Linked DNA regions of Alligator mississippiensis. The protein of the gene in region 2 interacts with the protein of the main gene of each other region in a pairwise test. Links are inferred from orthologs where the notes say so. Each region holds a gene or a part of one and is shown on either strand. Other genes may lie near its edges.

The links.
Region 1: the proteins of SSX2IP (region 2) and zinc finger protein 777 interact in binary tests that used the Homo sapiens proteins (3 or more experiments, as listed by UniProt). The two-hybrid records come from large-scale screens. The link is inferred for Alligator mississippiensis from reciprocal best matches to the Homo sapiens genes SSX2IP and ZNF250.

The regions. Positions count from the first base shown.
Region 1 is NC_081828.1:218,303,545-218,313,443, forward strand, and holds the start of zinc finger protein 777, read right to left. Parts: upstream 4,249-9,899; 5' UTR 4,186-4,248; coding exon 4,165-4,185; intron 4,154-4,164; exon of another isoform or gene 3,890-4,153; intron 3,772-3,889; coding exon 3,370-3,771; intron 1,650-3,369; coding exon 1,523-1,649; intron 16-1,522; coding exon 1-15. Other genes in the region: histone H2A, read right to left, coding at 9,482-9,899. UniProt on the Homo sapiens protein: May be involved in transcriptional regulation.
Region 2 is NC_081828.1:28,255,027-28,264,685, forward strand, and holds the start of SSX2IP (afadin- and alpha-actinin-binding protein), read right to left. Parts: upstream 3,731-9,659; 5' UTR 3,580-3,730; intron 3,073-3,579; exon of another isoform or gene 2,939-3,072; intron 2,755-2,938; exon of another isoform or gene 1-2,754. UniProt on the Homo sapiens protein: Belongs to an adhesion system, which plays a role in the organization of homotypic, interneuronal and heterotypic cell-cell adherens junctions (AJs).

The DNA of each region.
Region 1 (9,899 bases), about 190 Mb from region 2:
TGGACACGGCGTAGTCTGCAAATGGAGAAAGACATTAGGAAACACTTTCTCACTAGGAGGGTGGTGAAGCACTCAAACAGGTTACCCAGAGAGGTGGCATCTCCATCCTTGGAGGTTTTGAAGACCCGGATAGACAAAGCCCTGGCTGGGATGATGCAGTTGGGGCTGGTCTTGCTTGGAGCAGGGGGTTGGATTAGATGTGACCACATGAGGTCCCTTCAACCCTCATTGTCTATGATTCAGTGACATGAGAGGATGCTGATCAGCCTTAGCGATGGGCGATCTTTCAAGATGCAGAACTGTCCATGGGTTTTGGCCAACCCTTCAAATCAGTGGCCAGAGGTGGTGGGCAGTGTGGACGGATGCTAATATTTCCCTAGGGTTCCTACATCAAAACAAAGCATGGGAGGTATGTTATTGTCCTTCGCAGGGGGATTCACACATGCAAGGGGAGGCCAAGCTCCAAGAGAAGAACAAGCCTGGAACTTCTCAGTTATCTTCAAGGCTGCCAAAACCTCTACCACCTGGACAACAGGTAGCTTAAAAGAAGGTGTTGTCTTTATTGATCAAACACCTCCTGTTTCAGCTTCAACAACCACTTGAAGGGCAGTTCTTCTGACCTGTCACTGCCAGGCACCTATGTGACTGCAGAAGGGCCAAAGCAACTGCTGCCATCAGGACCAGCCTGGCTTGGAGGAGAGTCATCTGGAGAAAGGTGCCCCAGCAGCAACCATTGGACTGTCACTCAGAAAAGACCAAACAAACGGTAAAGCTGCTCCTGGGACCAGCTTTGGTGGAGGATATCTTAGAGCCGAGTCCGAGTTCTGCGTGAGTACATGCACAAAGTGATGTTTTACCAGCCTTTAGCGTGGGACGGGGTTACAGTGCGAGACCTTTAAATCACGGTGGGTTATCCACAGGATATGGCCTAACTCAAACCACAAACCCCAGGCTTAGGACTTCACCTGGGGCTGTGCCTCCCCCATCAGCAGTGGATCAGACAGGTCAGAGACACTCAGACCGTGGCTCCTGTTCCACAAGCTCTTCAGCTGATCACCTGCAGCTCTTGGCAAAAAAACGCTAAAGCTCATTTCTTGCTACGTGCCTTTGGCCTGTCTTTCCTGCCTCCATAACTGAGGCAATGCATGTGCTGCGCATCTCTGCCCACCATGCAAATGGCCACTAATGCCCTGTAGCTATTTCTCTTTCGAACTGCAGCGTATTTGCCACACTTCACCTCTTGCTCTAGTGTTTTGGTTCCTGGCTGAGTCAGGATGGAGCGTCACAGGGCTGGATGATCCCAATAATTTCTTCCAGTCCTAAACTCTATAGAGCTCACCCCAGAGAGCACATGAGGCGAGATCCTACCCAGCTTGCCCTTCCACCGCATTTGTCGTGTGGGTCTGATGGCCTAACAGGTCTTGCCTGCAATCCTCCAGAAACCAGAAGGCCCCGCAGATTCACCCCGAGCCAGCCCGTACCAAGTGCAGCTGCCCAGACAGGAGTAAAACAAAATGCTCACCCAGCGAGACCAGGGTCTCATAGTTGCCCCTCATCACGTGTTTGTACAGCTCCTTCTGCCAGCTGGCCAAGTTCTCCCACTCCTGCTCATTGAAGTAGACCGACACGTCGTCAAACGTCACTGGCACCTGCAAGCACAGAGGTCACACGCTCAGCAGCTTCAACAACAGCCTGCATGCCCATAAGAGAGGGGCTGCATTTCACCGCATGCTCAATTGAGCCAAATGCACCTCGAGACACATCCGGGGTGCCCTGGCCCATTTTGCAGAGGTTCCCCCAGCTGCCACCCAGCCCTGAGGTCATCTGTTTGCAAAAGCCAGCTTGTTCAAAGCCACCCAGGGCCTGCTGCCTACCTCCAGGCACGAAGCCACCCCCTGTCACCAGCACAACCTGCTCCTAGCCCACCTACACTGGATGCTGCACAGACAGGAGACAGACATGCAATGCTGCGCACGCATGCGTGACCGGGTCCCCACCAAAGCAGGACGAGCTGTCTGCCCCCACTCCAGCAGTGCTTTAACCATGGGGCCTTTGGTGGATGTGGGGTAGCACCCCAGCTTCTCCACTTCTTTTTTGTTCAGACAAAAACTGGGTTTAGCTGCTTAACAGCAGGGAAAGGCGTCACTGCTGAGGACCCAGCCAGAGGGAAAGGCCCTGATCTCTGGCTATGTTGGTGGCACAGGTAAGTACCGAAGCTCCAGCCTGTCTTCTGCCCGTTGCATCTCCAGCTCAGTTTGGTCAGCAACCAGCACACCGAGCTCCTGGTCAGCAACTTGCCCCCAAGCGCTGCATTGAGACACCCAGCATGAGGCTGGAGACCTCAGGGGCTCAGCACTACAACCCCCCATGCCTTTGGGGATCTGGTCTCAAGACCACACACCTCGGCCACGCACGAGGTGGCAACCAGCATGAGATGCGTGCAGATGTACCCCAGGCCTGCCGCAGCAGCCCGCGCACCAAGCCATCGCCAGCTTGACTGCTGGGCTCCGAGAACGACCTGCCACCCTGCAGCTATCGCACTACGCCTCCACCTTTCCTCGCTGCATAAAGCAGACTCAGGTCCCTACTGCCATGCACGAAACGCCCGTTGGGAATGGCTGATATAAGGCCGTAAAGTCAATTGAGGCTGGATATCCAGAAAATCATTTCCACTGTGAGAACAGTGAGGCAGTGGCCTAAAAACCCCAGAAACGGGGTAGAGGACTCCTCATCACTGGAGGCGTTTAAGAAGATGCTGGGCTGTCACTGGTTGGGGGCAATTTAGGTGTAGCGATGCCTGTTTTCTACCATAGGTATTTCCCAAGCTTCTGGGCTTTGCTGTCTACTCCCTTTTTTTCCTCTGTTGTCAGGGTGTTTTTAAGCCTCCCCAGAGGCGCTGGGTGTTGGCTACAGCTAAGGGTGGGAACTTCAACGGGGGCGTGCCAATTCTCCTGCCGGGACCAAAGCCAAGGTTTCCTGGCTAGAGGGTCTTGCCCCTCTGCTCAGGGTCAGACCAATCACATCTTTGGGGTCAGGAAGGACTCTTTTCCCCCGTGGTCAGATGGGTGCGGACTGGGGGCAGGGAGGGCCCTTCCTCCGCAGCGGGGCATAGCCCCCTACCCAGAACCTCTCGAGCAGGTTTTATAGAGGCGAGACATTGACCGCCGCAGTCTCCCTGCTTTCCCTGCGGCAGGCTCGGGTGTTCGGTCGGTGTCGTGTCAGGGTTGAGGTCAGTCTTACACAAAGTCGAGATGATGGAGTTGTCTGGGATGGTTTGGACGGGGCTGAGGCCGGGGTTGGATTAGAGGTGACCTCCGGAGCTCTACTTCTCCGTGACCCTACTACGGCCCTGTGACCGGGGGTCCTTACCTGCGGGATCTCCCCCTTGGTGCCGGGCGGCAGGCGCAGGATCCAGAAGTTCCTGTTCTTGAGCAGGTTCTCCATGTTGTCCAGGCGCCGCTGCAGCAGCTGGTTCTCCTGGATCAGGGTGCCCAGCACGGCCCACCGCCCCTCCAGCTGGTTGCCGAAGTCCACCACGGTTTTCTCGCAGCCGGCCAGCTTCTCCTCCGCCGCCCCCGTCTTGCCCTCCAGGCTCAGCAGGCGCACCGCGTGCGACTCCACCTTCTTCTCCATCGCTTCCAGCGTGGCCATGACGGCCCCCAACGAGCCCGCCGCGTGCTGGCCACGCATGGCTCCCACCGGCGTCCGCTTGAGGACCACGGAGGGCTGCAGAGCCCGGTGGAGCCTGGCGTCCCTGGCACACGCCGAAACCTGCGGGCACAGACACTTCGTCTCTGGGGGAGTCCATACCCCACCCCTCGGGCTAGGGCTTCCCGCAACCCAGCGGACGGCGAGGGACCGTGGCACGGCGAGACAAAGGTGGACCGACCTGGCACCTTCCCCTGCGCACCGCTACGGAAAGGGGGTGCCGCAGGCGAGGCGGTGGGGCAGCACCCCCGGGGGAGAGGACACCTGGCAGGGCAGGGGAGGGCAGGGGAGGGGGTGCGATGCTCTGCCCAGCTGTGCAGCGGGGCGGGGAGGGAGGGAGGGAGGGAGGCGGGTGCGGGGCGCGGGGCAGGGCACGTGTGCACGGCGCGGCGCAGTTGGGGCGCTCCGGGGGCCCCGCGCCCCGCGCCCGGGGATGCTCCGCGCTGCAGCGCTTACCTCCGCGGCGCGCCCGGCCATGGCTGCGCGGCCCGACCGCACCACGGCGCCGCCTGCCGGCCGGAGGCGCCGCCGCCGCCGCGTGTGTCCGCGCTGCCGCGGGGCAGGGGCAGGGCCCGGAGCTCCGCCCGCCGCCGCCGCCCGCTTTGTCCCGGGCCCGCCGTGCTGGGCCGGGGGATCCCTTCCTGCCCCAGTGCAACGGGGCAAACCCCCCCAGTGTGGACCAGCCCGGGCAAGGGGAGATCCCTTCCCGCCCCCTCAGTGCAGACCAGTCTGGGCAGGGGGAAATCCCTTCCTTCCAGGACCTGCGGGGTTGGTGCCAGCAGGAGCACTGGCACAGCCCCAGCCTGGGCTGCAGCAGCCCTCCACATCTCTGAGAGAGGCGTCAAGCCCCCGCCCCTGCCCCTGCCCCTGCCCCACGGCAGGTGAGGAGAAGAGTTTCACGGTCCCGGGAAGGGGGCCAAGGTTCTGCATTCGCTGAAGCACGGAGACGTGGAGCTGCAGAAGTGACACCGGTGCAACCCTGGCGTGCGGCAGGACGAGCCCCGTGCAAACCAGCCCAGACCCAAACCGTTGCCCAACCTCTGAGCAGCACGACACAGCCAGCCCAGACACAGCAGGCATCGCCCCGCGCGTGCCCCAGGGAGAGCAGGAGGACCGCAGCCGCCGGCGACCTGCTGCTGTACAGGGTTGTTCGTGCACGCGCCAGACACCCCGGGGAGAGGCTGCGAGGAAGGAGAACGGCCCCGCTGTCCCTTTGCAGTGCCTTCTGCCCACGAATCCCATCAGCGGAGCTGGCAGCTGCCTGCTCCACGCACCAAGCCTGTGTCTCAGCAGCTCCCCGAAGCCTGCCCTAAAGAAGAGGCCCCGAGCCTGCTCCATTGCCGCCCTGCTGATGTAAAGGTTCCTCCTCCTACTTCACTTCAACCCGGCTGCCACCCTTTCAAGGGTGCCACGTGGCGTTAGCACTGCTAGGTGGGCGACCGGGGTTCACACGATGAGCCCCGAGACTTCCGATAGGAATCCACAGGGTGAAAGGCGAACCCCCCCGTGCACGCCGGCCCAGCATTTCCATGGGGCTGTTCTGTGGAGGATGGCCATAGCCCCGGGGCAAGGAGCGATGGGCTGAACTGTGGCAAGGGGAGACCTAGGTTGGGGGGTAGGGCAAACCTGTCTGGGGGTGGTTCAGCACCAGAACAGGCTGCCCGGAGAGGCCGTGGGGTCCCCATCCCTGGGCTTTTGCAAGAGCAGGCTGCACAGACACTCGTCTGGGATGGTTTAGTCAGGGACGATCCTGGACAGGATGGACCCCCAAAAGCCCCTTTTACCCTACGATTCTCTCTGTGGCTCTATACCCCCTGCCCTGCTTTTTTCACAGGAAAACTCTGTTTCTTGGCCTTTTCTTCCCAGCCATATTTCCCAAGCTCTCATCATCATCCTTATTACTCAGTGAAAACACTGAATAAACCCAGGGCCAGGGCAGGCCTCCCTTGAGATGCCGTCCTGCTTTGACAGCAAACCACCGGTAACTAGTCTGGAGCGCTGGTTTTCACCCAGTTTTGTGCGTGTCCCCCGCCGTCCCTCCTCCCCGATGGCTGTCCTCTTGACAATACACTTTTTTTACGCATGCTTCCTTCTAGCTCTTTTCCAGACGAAACAATCCCAGGTCCTTCAACCTTTCCAGCTGGTTTGATTTGAAGCCCCCCGTCCATCTTGTTGCTCTGGACTGCCGGCACTCTCTTTGTTTCTGAAGCGGGGGCACAGCGAGGCCCGCAGAGTGCAGCGATCGTCTCCAGTGTCGCACGCACAATGCTCCTGCTAACAGACAGGACAAGGCGCAATGGTTTCAAGTTGCAGCAAGGGAGGATTAGGTTGGATATTAGGAAACACTTTCTCACTAGGAGGGTGGTGAAGCACTGGAACAAGTCACCCAGCGCGGTGCTGGGATCTCCATCCTCGGAGGTTTTTAAGGGCCGGCTCGACACAGCCCGGGCTGGGATGATGTAGTTGGGGCTGCTTGGAGCTTGGCCTCATCTGCAAACCTGAAAAGCTCGCTTTGCCGTCCATCCTCTGAGCCATGAATGGCTCGTTTCTGTTCATCTGGTTCCGAGGCTGCTAGGACCCCCTTTTTAAACAAACAGGGACTGTGTTTTTTGCCCTTCTCCCCTGGTCTGGGACAACTGCAAAGATAATCGCTGCGGGTTCAGAGATCAGTTGGACTAGTTCTTTGACTACCCGAGGGAGGATTTCATCAGCTCCTGCTGACCCGACTGCACCGAAGGCTCCTTAACCTGTTTATTTCCCCTCCTGGCCGATACTCTTATCTCCTCATTAACATTACATTTTAACTTAGCCTTTTTGACTGGACAGAAGCCCAGCATGCCCCAAATACCTCCTTGGCATCAGTACCAGACCTTCACTGCCCTCTGCCTTCCTCTTTCTCCCAAATTAATCTAGAGAGCCTCCCCCAGGGGCCTTTCTCGCCCCTTGCTGTTACACCGTATCTCATGCCTTTGCTGGTTTGCTGTTACCCCACCCCAGGCTTAGTCCGTTCCTTCCCACTGGCTTCGTCATGTGTTTTTACTTCAGGTCTATGCAGGGCCCAGGATGCGGCTGGAGTAAGGGCTTGCTGCACATCCCATTGCTGCTTTGTGCTGGGAGAGCCGGCTGCTGCACCTCCGACCTAGCTGGCTTTTTTCAAGGCTCACCCTTGTCCCGCTGCCCTGCGCCCTGCTTTTCTTGCACGGCAAACCCCCTCTGTAGCAGTTCAAGGCCACGGGGCAGCTGTGTGGCTCCTGCCCGGCTTGGACTCTAATGTCACCCTCCCTGGATGCCATGTCTTGTTCTCATTAAAGGCTGATTAAGGGAGGCTGCCCACAGGCCTTAGAGTGAGCCTCGGTCCTGGCAAAGGGGCCATACTAGTCTCAACTCACCCCCCAGGCTTGATAGGCCCTCTCAGCCTGCTCGTGCCTTTGGAGGGCACCAGTAGCCTAAAGGGCTAATTGCTTGGCCCCGCTCTGCCCTACACCACACCCCAAGCCTCGCAGATGTTATCATTCAATGGTGGCATCTGAGGTCCCTCCTGCTTAGCCCCTTGCCAGGCTCCTCAATACTTTCAGCCCTTCCCTCTGGGCTCTCGGACCCTCCGGTCCAGCTCGCAGCCCCTCTTGGACTTGTGGACCCTCTAGTCCAGCTCTCAGCCCTTTTCGGGGCCTGTGGACCATCTGGTCTGACTTTTACTCGCTGCCTGGCTCCTGAACATCCAGGTCCAACACTCAGACACTCCTCTTGTCTTTAAACCTTCTTTGGTCTTGCTCTCTCTCAGCCCTGCTTTGTGTGCCTGCATCCCCTGATCACACACCCAGCCCCTCTCAGGCCCAGGGCTTATATAGCTCAAGCCCGGCCTGCTGCTGATCAGGTGCATCCCTAATTAATCCCCTTTGCCACCTGCAAGCTGGCATCTTCTCTACCTCTGAAACGCCAAGGGGATAGGACAAAGCAGCCACGCGGGCTCCTGCTCATTCACTGCAGGTCACAAGTGTTCCCACCATCCTCTACCTCCCTTCTTCTTGGGCTAATTTCTCCCTGAGCCAAGCAGGGAACATGCTGTAGGGCTGTGCACATCTGCCCCCCACCCCTGCAAATCTTGGGGAATGGCTGAATATATACACAGAGGACAGGATTGAGCATGGACCCCGTTGCTGACACCCGGGGCTGTTGGGAACCCGTTGCTACTTCCAGCCTCAGCAGAACCCAGGGTCCTGCACTGGGAAACCACGTCTAACTCCACAACCCAGCAGTGGTGGGCCAAGCAGGTGCTCAGCCTGTGTGGGATGATCAGCCCTATAAAAAAAGGCCTGGTTCTTGGTCCATGAAAACTTCGGCCCCCATTCAGAACTGAACACAGACGTTGGCCACTGGCTGGCAAAGTGGACTGTCTCCACTTATATTAGCCAACAGAAAATAGAGTCCAGCAGTTAAATATCTGCTTATTCATTCGCGTGGGCCATGGGCACCCAGCTGTTGGCCTGGCCATGGGTAGAGAGTAGGTCCCTAGTCCATTCAGGCTGTCCCAGGGGCTGCACTGCTGCCCCCTCCCTGGGTCTGCAGATGGGGCCTGTCCCCGGTCCTGACTCCATAGGGCATTGATTTGACCCTGAGCAGAGGGGCAAGACCTTTTAGCCAGGTCAGGTCATTTTCCAGTAGCTCTTGTCATCTGCTCCTCCCCACAGCAGGGGAACAGGTGTGTGGGAGCCCCCTCTGCAGTGCCTGCTCCAACTCTGCACAGATACCCAGCCCAATGCACAGGTGAATCCCAGTGTGAGCATCCAGCCTTGCACAGATGTCCTTCCCTCTCTGAGCCCCCAGGCAAATCCAGAGAGAAGCCATGGAGCAGAAAGGCATGATCACAGGCATCCCATCTGCAGGCTCTTTCGTGGCCATGGAAATCTACCCCATGTACCCATGCTACCCAGGGTAAGCAAAGCAAAGCATTTGTTAGTCTGCCACTATCAGCGCTTTAAGGAGACAGGTGAGGCCAACCTCCACCCTGATCCTCCAACAAGGGGTGCCGGGAATGAGGAAGAAGATGAAGATGGCCGGGATGCCCGAATGCCTCAGACTTGAAACCCCTGCATGCCTGTGCTCTGACACCAGTGCCAGGGTAGCGAGTGGCTGTGGGGCATTTGCACACTGGATGTTGAGCAGCCAGGCATTGCAACAGCCAGAGATCACTCGGATGTAGGCTGCAGTCTGGTCTGACCTGGCCTGAATGAGGAAAGCTCTGCATGGGAGCTGGGTATTATAGGCTGGCCTGCCACGCGGCGCTGGGACTGAGCCCAGTGCTCTAGATGACCCACCAGGCTGCTTTGTGACTGGCAGTGGCTCCCAGCACTGTGAGCTTCTCCCACTCCAGGCCTCCTTGTTCGAGGTCTCGGAGGCAGTCTGGCCTCAAGGGAAAGGGGCAGGTAACTCCAGAGCAGGCGGGCTGCTGTGGGCATTGCCCAGCCCAGGCAGGATGACAGTGCCTGTGTCCCACTCAGGCTCCAGGCAAACAGAGCATGGCTGGATAACATCTTCTAGGCGTGAGACTTGAGGCCCCAGAGAGGGTGGGAGCAGGGACCCCTCAGCAGCCCTCCATCGCCTCACAGAGGCAGGCAGCCAGGAGGATGGGAGTGGAGATGGAGGGGGCCTGCAGAGCCAGGATTAGAGCCAGCACTGGGCGGCTCCCAGCCAGAGTTTCTCCCCCCAGGCAACGGGCTGCCTATCTGCTCCTCTCCATGCCCTGCCATGCACAGCCTGGCTGCTTTTATCTCCTTTAATAGCCCGTGGACGGCTGTGAGGAGACACATCCAAAGTGGCTGCTATGTCTCCTGCGAGGCACGGCCCCCCGGTCCTGCCCCGGCGGCGGGCTGGGAGCCCTGCTCCGGCAGCACGGCTGGGTCCTGGCGTGCAGCAGCAGGGCCCGGGTGCCGGGCAGGACCCCGCCGGGGAAGACGGTCTTGCTGCCCAGCAGCAGTTTGCGGAAGTCCTTGCTCTGCAGGGCAGCCAGCTGCAGGTGCCGTGGGGCGATGACTCTGTCCTGGCTGCCTCGCGTGGCCTTCCCGGCCCAGGCCAGGATCTGGGCCGTCAGGTACTGGGTCACGGCAGCCAGGTAAACCAAGGCTTCGCCTTTGATGCGCTTGATGCGCAGTCTCTGCCGCAGCATGCGCTCGAGCTGGTCCACGGGGAAGTGC
Region 2 (9,659 bases):
TTACTATTTGCAAGCTAATTTTTCTCTGCAAGCCAACAGCTCTGATGATATGCCTACAACCTGCAGTGTCCCAGTAACTGTCAGATGTAATTTTGCCAGCTGGCAATATCACTTGCTGTTCCATTGAAGAAATTCCTGAAGAGAACAAAGCTAGGCAAATTCCCAAAAATGTACACCTAGGCCTCAGTTCCAGGGGGGCGGGATTTATGTACCAGATGGAAAAACTCATACTCTTTGCTGGTAAAAAAAAAAAAAAAAAAAAAAATCTTGAAAGATTCAACTGTATCCTAGATCAAAGAATGCTTTGGCAGATGTCCAAAAAGTAGTAATCAATCCACCAGAGCAGAAATAGCTAAGAAACTGGAATAATCTGCCATTTTAATTACATGTTGGAATTAGACTCTGAAAAAATACTCTTTCTATTTAGGAAACCTGGTTTCTGGTAGACACCTACCATATGCTCCCTTAAGCCCCTACACGATTTGGTGAGCAACATATTTTTCCTTTCAGCAATAACGTATCAGCATGTTCTAAAATGGTATTATCTTCTTGTTTCCTTCCTAATGCAAATCATTGCTTTATGATTTAAAATAGAAGTCAGACAGATTTCCTGTAATAAATTGGTCTTAAGTGTTCAATTTAAAAAAAAAAATCACATGTAATAGAATTACAAGCCCAACAACAACACATACACCATTATTTTTTCAAAGCATAGATTTTGAATGTCAGATTTAAATTCAATAGAAATAGCTATCAACATAACTGAATTCTAAAAACTAGTTCAGCCACATGTTCATCAGAAGATAAACACACTGTAGTATAATCATTTAAAACTTACATGGACAGTTTCACAAATGAAAAATAAAGTACATGGTTCTCCAAAATGTTCCTGCCCCCAAATTAGCTTTTTATCTTCTTCTCAGATGCATCTTACATTTTTTCTGATGTAGAACAGCTCTTTAAAAGGGACAACACTATATCAACCAAGAAACAAGAACCAGTCTTCCAACCAAACACAGCAGACACTACAATTTTGCTGAAAGGTGTTTCAACTTGCAAATTACATCTCTGAAAGTATATAAAAACTTGTTCAGAGAATATAAAGGCCACAAAAGGTAAGCATTTACTTAAAATGCAATACAAGTCCTTCTGCTAAGATTGGATTCCAAAAAGAGCTGTGAACCTATTTAAAGTTTTTAGATTTATCTATTAATCGCCTCCACAGATGGCTATCTGGATGAAACAAAACAAATAGATTCTATGTAAATTTGAGCCCTGCTGGTAGTCATTAGCTTACATTTTTACATCTATCCTTCAAAATGTCATAAAAAGCAACTCATTTGCTTTATTTATGCAGTAACCTTGAAAATCCAAGTATTCCCTCCACCTCCACATTTCTGACAGTTGCTATTTTTGCTACAGGCATTTTAATAATGTGGCTCACAATTATTACCACCTCTGTATGTTAAAAATAATGTTAAATAATGATTTTCATTATAGCTTTAGTGACACTACCTATGGACAGAATGAATTCTAGAGATTTATAGACTCTATATTAGTTTGTAGAAATTGATCCTACTTGAGCATTATTAGTTATATGAATCCTGGAGGGTAACGGGTTACATTTTACCACCACTTTTCTACATTCTACGAGTATTCTTAATTCAGGAGTTTGACATAGCAAACTAACCTAGTCAACTCCAAAGTAAATTTGGAAAACACAAGTCCTAATCTGTCCAGCCTGCAGGCCTGTATAGTCTTCATTTAGTTTATTAGTACATTACACCCTTGCTAGAAGGCTCCTAGTTGTATTCATCAGTTCCACTAATTTAACAAATAAGAGGTTTATTTGTCTTGATCTGTAATACAGCTACAATCACAAAAGAAATCTGCAAGTTTATATCTGTGCTAAGTCACTTATATGTTTAACAGTTGGACAACTGCTTCACTACAGTCCTCACCCCCGCCCCACTACTTTCAAGGCATATCCTCCACTTCTTTACTGATGTTACGTGTGGAGGTGTGGAGTTACCCGTGCCACGCACCTGCACTAGGCGCCGCTGCATCCCCTACTGCCTCGAGCATAGGTGCCACCTTTTTTTGTGGCTGGTGGTGCTTGCAGGCATAAAAACAACAACAAAAATGGCTCTTTACTTTTACCCAGGACCATTCCCGTGCCAAGCCCTATGCATATCCAGAAGAGGCAGTGTGTTACTGCTACCCGGTCTGTAAAGACTGAATCACCTCTAGCTAAAAACACCAAAAAGCCCCACTGAAGCACTCCATCTTTACAGACGCTGTAGAGCCAGGTTAAAGCCGTGTGCTGCTTCTTCCCATAAAGCACCGGGAGTTTTGTTTGTTGGGGTTTTTTAACATCTGCAGGCAGCTCTGGAGATGCTGAGCACTGGCTAATTTTTTTCAGTGGATGCTTGAGCCCCAGAGCACCCATGGAGCCGGCCGGCGCCCGTGGTCTCGAGGATCGACCCTGCTGCCTCCTACCATTCACAGACCATGGATCTTCGTCTCGCTCCGCTGCTGCTGGAGAAATGAATCCTGCCAAGGCTGCAGCCAGGTCTGCAACTCCGCAGGTGCCACACACATCTCCCCACCACCAACACCCTCCGCCAGCCGGCTCTGCAACGGGCGGCCAGTTATCCTCTGTGCTGCGACCGCCCGGCTGCCCGGATTAGTGCAAACTTTCCCGCAGCCCTGCGGCACCCGGAGCTTTTCCTCCTTTCAGCTCCAGGGAAGGCGCTCGGCTGTCCCCCCCGGGGCCCTCCCGCGCCTCCGACACCTGGCGACAGGCCCAGACCTTTGTGCTCCGCAAGCCGAGCCCCGCCCGCTTCACAGCCCTGCTCCACCTGTCCCGCGGCCTCCGCTTCGCCGCGCGGCCTCCCCCCGGCACCCCCAAAACGCCACGTGCCCGCGCCCTGCTTACGTCACGCCCACGTCACACATGGGGCCCAGCACAATGACGTCTTGGAGGAGCCGGAACCGAAGGGGCTCGCGGCGCAGCCCGCTCCTCCCTGGGCCGGCAGCAATGGGCAGCCTCCCCTCCCCCTCCCGGGCGCACGTGCCGGGGGCGGTGCCAAGAGGGGAGGACGGTTGGACGCCCCGCCCCCCGTGGCGTGCCCCGCCCCGCGCGCACTCACCCGCGCAGCAGACTAGGCGAGGCGAGTCTCAGCCCAGAGCCCGCGGGTGCCGCCGGCCCGGCCCGGCCCCGCCCCCCCGCGCTCCCATTGGCCGCGCGGTTGCTAGGAGGCCGGCAACAAGGGCCCGGGGGCCGACACGCACCTGCCGCAGGCGGGGAGGGGCTGCCTCGGGGACCAGACGTGGCCGGGCCGGGCCCGCGCTGCGCCTCCCTTTTCCTCGCCCGGTCCCGGAGGCAGGCGAGAGCCCGCGCCTCCCTGCTCCAGTGCCTGTTGGCGGCGCGGCCGCCCTGCCCCCTCGGCCTTGGCGAACACTTCCCCAACAGGGCCCGGTCTCCAGTTCAGCAGCCTGTTGCCTTCGTGGCAAAGTGCGTTCAATTCGACACAGGCAGACGAGGCAGGAGCTTAGTTGTGATCTGTATTGACTTACCTAGCGGCATCTCCTTGCGCCCCTGCTCCTGACCGCGACTCCTCAGCTCCTTCCAGGGTAAGGGGCTGTTCTCGGCCTTCCCGAGGGAAATCCTGCTCCAGCTGGATGGGCAGGGGAGAGCACAACCAGGTAGGGTAGCTCCCAGGTGGGCCGGACCCGCAGGGTCTGAGGCCTGCCCGAGACTGGAGGCCCGCCCTGTGTGTGAGGAGGAGCCATGCAGGCCACCGGCAGGGAAAGCAGGAGCGAAGCCGTCCACCTGGTGGGTGGGATTGCTCTTACCGCTGGGGAAGCCTTGGAAGCAAAGATGCGAGAGGAACGGGATACAGAAGCTTTAAAAGATGAGAACTGAGTCGGTGATGTGATTTTATTCACAATGCCCTTTTTTGTAAATGTGACATTCATGGTTTTTCTCTGAACTTGTCAAGCACCGATTCTTTCCCTGTGTTTTTAATATGAGAGGCAACATTCAATGTTGCTTTTGTTTGTGGACCAGCACTTCCACAGCAGCATAGATGGCAGAAAGCTGAAGCTAACGGGGCTTAGTTTCCCCCAAATTAATTGTGTAGCAGCTGGAGACGGCAGCAGCACCACTAGGGTGTCACCACAGCACCACATACGGCACCAGCAACACGCTGGCCCCGCAACAGCCCTGTGGGAGAGAGGGGTGGGGTGCAGGTGGGCACCCTTTTACTCAGCCCCCCAAATATTTTCTCCCACAGGGCTGTTATGGGGCCAGCGTGTTGCTGGTGCTGTGGTGGCACCCTGGTGCTGCTGCTGCCGTCTTTGATATCCCTAAAGACAAGAATTCTTATGACTGCGATTCACTGAATGTACTTTGGATTGACTTAGCTCAAGAACGTGCTCAAAAATCAGTCGGTAGATGGCATAATTGTAGCTAAAGTAACATCCGCCTTACAAAACTAACGTAAAAACCCTCCTAAACACAACAGTTACCAGTTACCATCAGGATAGAAAGCTAAGGATCCTTTCTTGATTTAAAAACAACAAAAAGATTCCTCCAGGCAAGGGGACAAGAACATTTTTACAAGGCTAGTAAACTCAGTCCTTTTGGAGAAAGCACAACCTTACTGTTTTGTAGATACTGTAGAAATATTTGCTATTGTTTTGGTTTTGTATATTTTTGGCCACCATAGCAGTAGATATTTCTTTAAAAAAGAATATATACACACATTTTTAAAGGAATTTAAACCAGGAAGATCATTCTTCACAGTATGCAAGATATTTATTATTTTATGGCTTAAAGAGTAATAGCAAAGACTTTGGACTTTATACTGCAGATTCTGTTTGTTTCAGACCTGTTTCGGAGGAGAAAACTAGGACAGACTTGTATAGAAGACATATATCAGTGATGGTGACAGATTGGATGACTCTCTTTGTCCAGAGAGGAGGATTACATGCCTGTATCTTTAAGAGGCACCGCGTGTGCATTCTAGTTGTCTATCTGATCTTAGCAGCTGTTCCTGAAAGTTGATGTTATTCAGAAAGGAACTCCCCAAGCACTTTGCTATGCATCATTTATTTTTTTATGGACTGTCAAAGATAGAAGGACAAGCCTTTTGGGAAAACTGTGTGTAGAAGATGCAGAGAAAGAAATATACTTAATGGGAAAATGTATATCCTATAGTATATTCAGTTAAGAAGGACTAAATCAGTGTAAAATAATCTTCCTGAAACTCCAGTGAGAACTATTAAAAATATACTTTCAAGCCTTTTGGCATTAAAACACAGGATGATCTAGTTAGTAATTTGCAGAGAGAAAGGAATAATTTAATTGGAAATTTCTGTTGTCGTAGGATACAGTGGAGGAACACATCAAAGCGTTATTGTCCTACAGCAAGTAAACACGTTTTACATTTCTCATAATGTATGCCATGGCTTTGAGTATAACCTAAATATGAACAAAGTTGTTTCACTAAATAATATAAAATAGTTTTTTTTACCCTGCTTGCGTCTAATTGAAAGAATTATTAGGAGACTCATTGATTGGAAATTCAGTAGTAAAATAAGAAAATATTGGATCATATGGTTGTTTTAGCCTTTTTTGATGGAATTTATTTTCTGCTAAGAATTATTATTAAGTTTTGGTAACATACCTAAAATAAAAGAAATTATGTTTCTTTTATAAAAAATATGTATAACACAGGTGGTAAAAGATAACTAAATTCAGAGGACAACTTTTTTTTCTTTTTTCCAGTCCTTTGGTAAGAAAGGGAATTCTTACATCAAAACAGTATAAATTTTAAAGTGGGGGAAGCTGTTACTATTCTGAGAAATGGGAGATAAGATAACCTTTAAAAACAGCTAAAATTGTGTTCAACTGTTATATGGGTTATATGGGTCTGATTAGATTCAAATCCATCTTGTTCTTCAGTGTTTGCATTCAAGAAATGCTCACTGCCAAGGTGAAGTAAGATTTAGCATTGTCCTACATTAGAAATTAGTACGGCTGATGAACTCTTAACTCACAGAATAAGCTCATTACAGTGTCTGATCCTGTTATACAACAGGCTATTGGATTTGCTTTTCTAAAGCCAACAACCATTTTAGTGTCTCTGAACACAATCACTCATACACCCCAAGACACTTTTTCAAGTAACATCTATGCAGCTAGCAGTTGTGTAGAGACTAATACAGAAGACAGACATACCCATGCAGTTATGAGCTGGGCCCTGAAATACAGGTTTCCCTTCATTTATAAGGGTTCCATATATGCAAATTTGCTCCTATGCGATCACCCTTTTTCTACCCAAAATTCCTTATATGTGAGGTAAATTCACTCTTATGTGATCAGGGCTCCGCTTGTCCCCACTCACCCCAGCCCCTGGGCTGCGCTGTGCCATGCCGTGGTGCAGGCAGGTGGTGTCGGCTGCTCCCGGGTCTGCTGCAGCAGCTGGAATGAGTGGGGAGAAGTGGGGGCCCCAGGCTGTAGCAAGCAGCAGGAACTATAAGTGGGTGTGGGGTACAGGGGGGCACAGCTCTTGCTGCTATGCGCCCCCCCAGGAAGGCTGTAGGCTGGGGGGGGCTGCACTGGGCTCTTCCCAGGGGATCACAAGCCCCCGGATCTGTGCGTGGGACAACCACAGGCTGCCGCTGCAGGCTGGGGCTGGCGGTGGCACCGGGTTCTCCCTGGTGTTCAGAGGGCAGGTGGGGGAGTTATGGCAAATTTTGTGGTGGCAGCATCCCCCCTCCCAGCGCTGCTGCCTCATTCCTGCAAGCAAGGCTGGGGGCAGTGGTGGCACCGGGCTCTTCCCAGCGCTCCAGGTGAGCAGCGGTGCTTGTAGCAGGGCTGCTGCCACCCCAAAATTTGCCATAGCACCCCAACCTGCCCGCTGAGCGCTGGGGAGAGCCCGGTGGTGCCGCCAGCCCCAGCCTGCAGTGGCAGCCTGCTGTTGTCCCATGTGCAGATCCAGGGGCCTGCCCCCCACCCCAAAGAGCCCGGTGCAGCCCTCCCAGGGGGTACGTAGCAGCAAGAACTGTGCCCTCCTATGCCTTAACCACTCACAGTTCTGCCACTTTGTTGCCTCCTGCAGCCCTAGGAGCTGTTAACAGGCTGCGCTGCACCCTTCTCCCCACCCCTTTCCTAGTCCCAGCCTCACTCCCTCCCTCCCTCACCACCATGGGAATGTATTCCTATTTGTTACATTATAAAGTGGGTTCACTTTATGCAAATTTGATTTATGCACTGTACTCCAAAAACACATTTACTGCATATATTGAGGGAAACCTGTATCAGAACTTTCCACATTTTCAGAATATAAATATGGACAGGGAAAGATTAGTATGTTGCATTTCTATACTCATGTCCATCCAAGGATTCAAAATCCAAAGACTAATGAGTTTAGCCTCCCAGCACTCCTATAAACTACTGTTACAGCCTTGGTTCTATCTTATTCTAGGGTGGATCCAAGATTTGGCAAAGGTAGGTGCAAGAGTGGCCACATCTCTGCGCTCAGCCTCTTCCCCTGCTACCTACCAGAGTGGGCAGAGTATGCTGTGGGAGCCTCAGGACTTTTTAAGTTCCCAAAGCAGGTAAGCATCCCGCCATTCCCCACCATGTTCAGAGGCATGTCCCCAGCCCACCCCTCCTCATCCAGTTGCTGCTGCTTTCCCCAAGGTCTGGGGAATAGGGAAAGCTTCAGAGCTGCTCCTTCCCTCTCCAGCCAAGCTGTGTGGTGGCTGGGCTTAGCTAAGAACAGCGGCAACAGCAACGAAAAAGGGGTGGGTTTCCCCACACTGCCCATTTCCCTTAGGAGCAGGCACAAGAAGCCATTGCCACTATCACTGCTGTAGGTGAGCCCAGGCCCCAAACAGCTCAGTTGGAGTAGGCAGGAGCAGCTCTGAAGCTTTCGCACCCTGGGGACAGTGGCGAAAGCAGCACTAACTGAAGGAGAAGAGGATGGGAAGAGAGGGGACGTGGCTCTGAGCACAGAGGGGAAGTGGGGATCCTCTTGTGCTTTGGAGACTTTAATGTCCTCAGAGGCTCTAGCAACACAGTGCAGTCCAAAGAGGTGAAGCCACATGTCATAAAGGCAAATTCCTGCTCCGAAAGTGAAATTATTTTTGTTGAAAAATTATTTGGTATGGTTTATCTGGGAATATAACAGTATTGTCTTAATTTTGCAAATGGGAAAACACAAATACTTGGAAAAATAGTTAAAATGTTAATGTATGATTCCATACAAGAGCCAGAAACTGAATCTATTTATCGCAGGGGTGGGCAAAATACGGCCCGTGGGCCAGATCCAGCCTGCAAGGCCATTCTATCTGGCCCACGGGGTCCCTAAAAAAATGTAGAAAATTAATATTTCTCTGTCCTTGGTTCCTGTCAAAAATGACAGGAACCAAGGGCAGTAGGACCCAGGGCAAGCCCGGCGGGCTCCAACAACAGCAGGGCCGCCTGGCCCCGCCCCCCAGCCAGAAGCCCCAGCTGCAGTTTCTGGGCTGGGAATATGTGGCTTTCCTGGCACGGGAAGCTCAGGTAAGTGGGGCGGGGACCCCGGGCAAGGAAGGAATGCTGCGGGGGGGGAAGCAGCCCCTCCCCGCGCACACGCAGTGCCCCATGCTGCAGCTGCTTGCAGCCTGCATGGGGCTGCCTGTGCCCGCTCCAGACAGCCCCATGCGGGCTGTGAGCACCTGCAGCATGGGGCACCAGGCATGGGGCGGGGGAGGGGCTGCTTTCCCCCCATTCTCAGCTTTTCCCTGGGCTCCTTCCCTGCATGGAGAAAAGTGGCCCCTCGCCTGCCCTATGGCCAGTGCCCCGTGCTGCAGGCGCTTGCAGCCCACACGGGGCTGTCAGGAGCAGGGACAGGCTGGCTGCAAGTGGCTGAAGCGTGGAGCACTGGGCATGGAGCAGGGAGGGTCTGCTTTCTCCCCCCGCCACTTGCCAGGCTGGCAGTGGGGCTGGTTACAAGTTGATGCTGAGCATGGGGAAAAGCGGCCCCTCGCCTGCCCCATGGCCAGCACCCCACACTGCAGCCACCTGCAGCCCACATGAGGCTGCCTGTGCCTGCTTCAGACAGCCCCACATGGGCTGCGACCATCTGCAGTGCGGGGCGCCGGCAATGGGGCAGGCAAGGGGCCACTTTTCCCCATGCTCAGCACCAGCTTCTTCCCTGCTGGCAAGCAGGGGGTCAGGGCTGTTCGCTGCGGGGCTGGGGGGCACTGGGTGTCAGCAGGCAGGGAGCCAATAGGAGCACAGGGCCCGCACCGGTGTCCTGGGGCCAGTGCTGGTGGGGCCCAGAGCACGGTGGCAGGAGTGCAGGGGACAGCTGGCAGGGACTCTATGGAGCCGGGTCAGCTCCCCACTCCCTGCTGGTGCAACCCAGCAGGGTTCCATGTATGCAGAACCCCTGCTGGCCTGTACCCCGTTCTGGGCCCCACCAGTGTTGGCCCTGGGACATTGGTTCCAAGACATTGGTCCCAAGATAGTGACCAGGGGGGCGGGGCACCTGCCAAGGGGTGGGGCACCTATCAAGGGGCAGGGCTAACCATGCGGCCCTCGACAGCCTTCCAAAACTGGGTAAGTGGCCCTCCACCCAAAATAATTGCCTGCCCCTGAT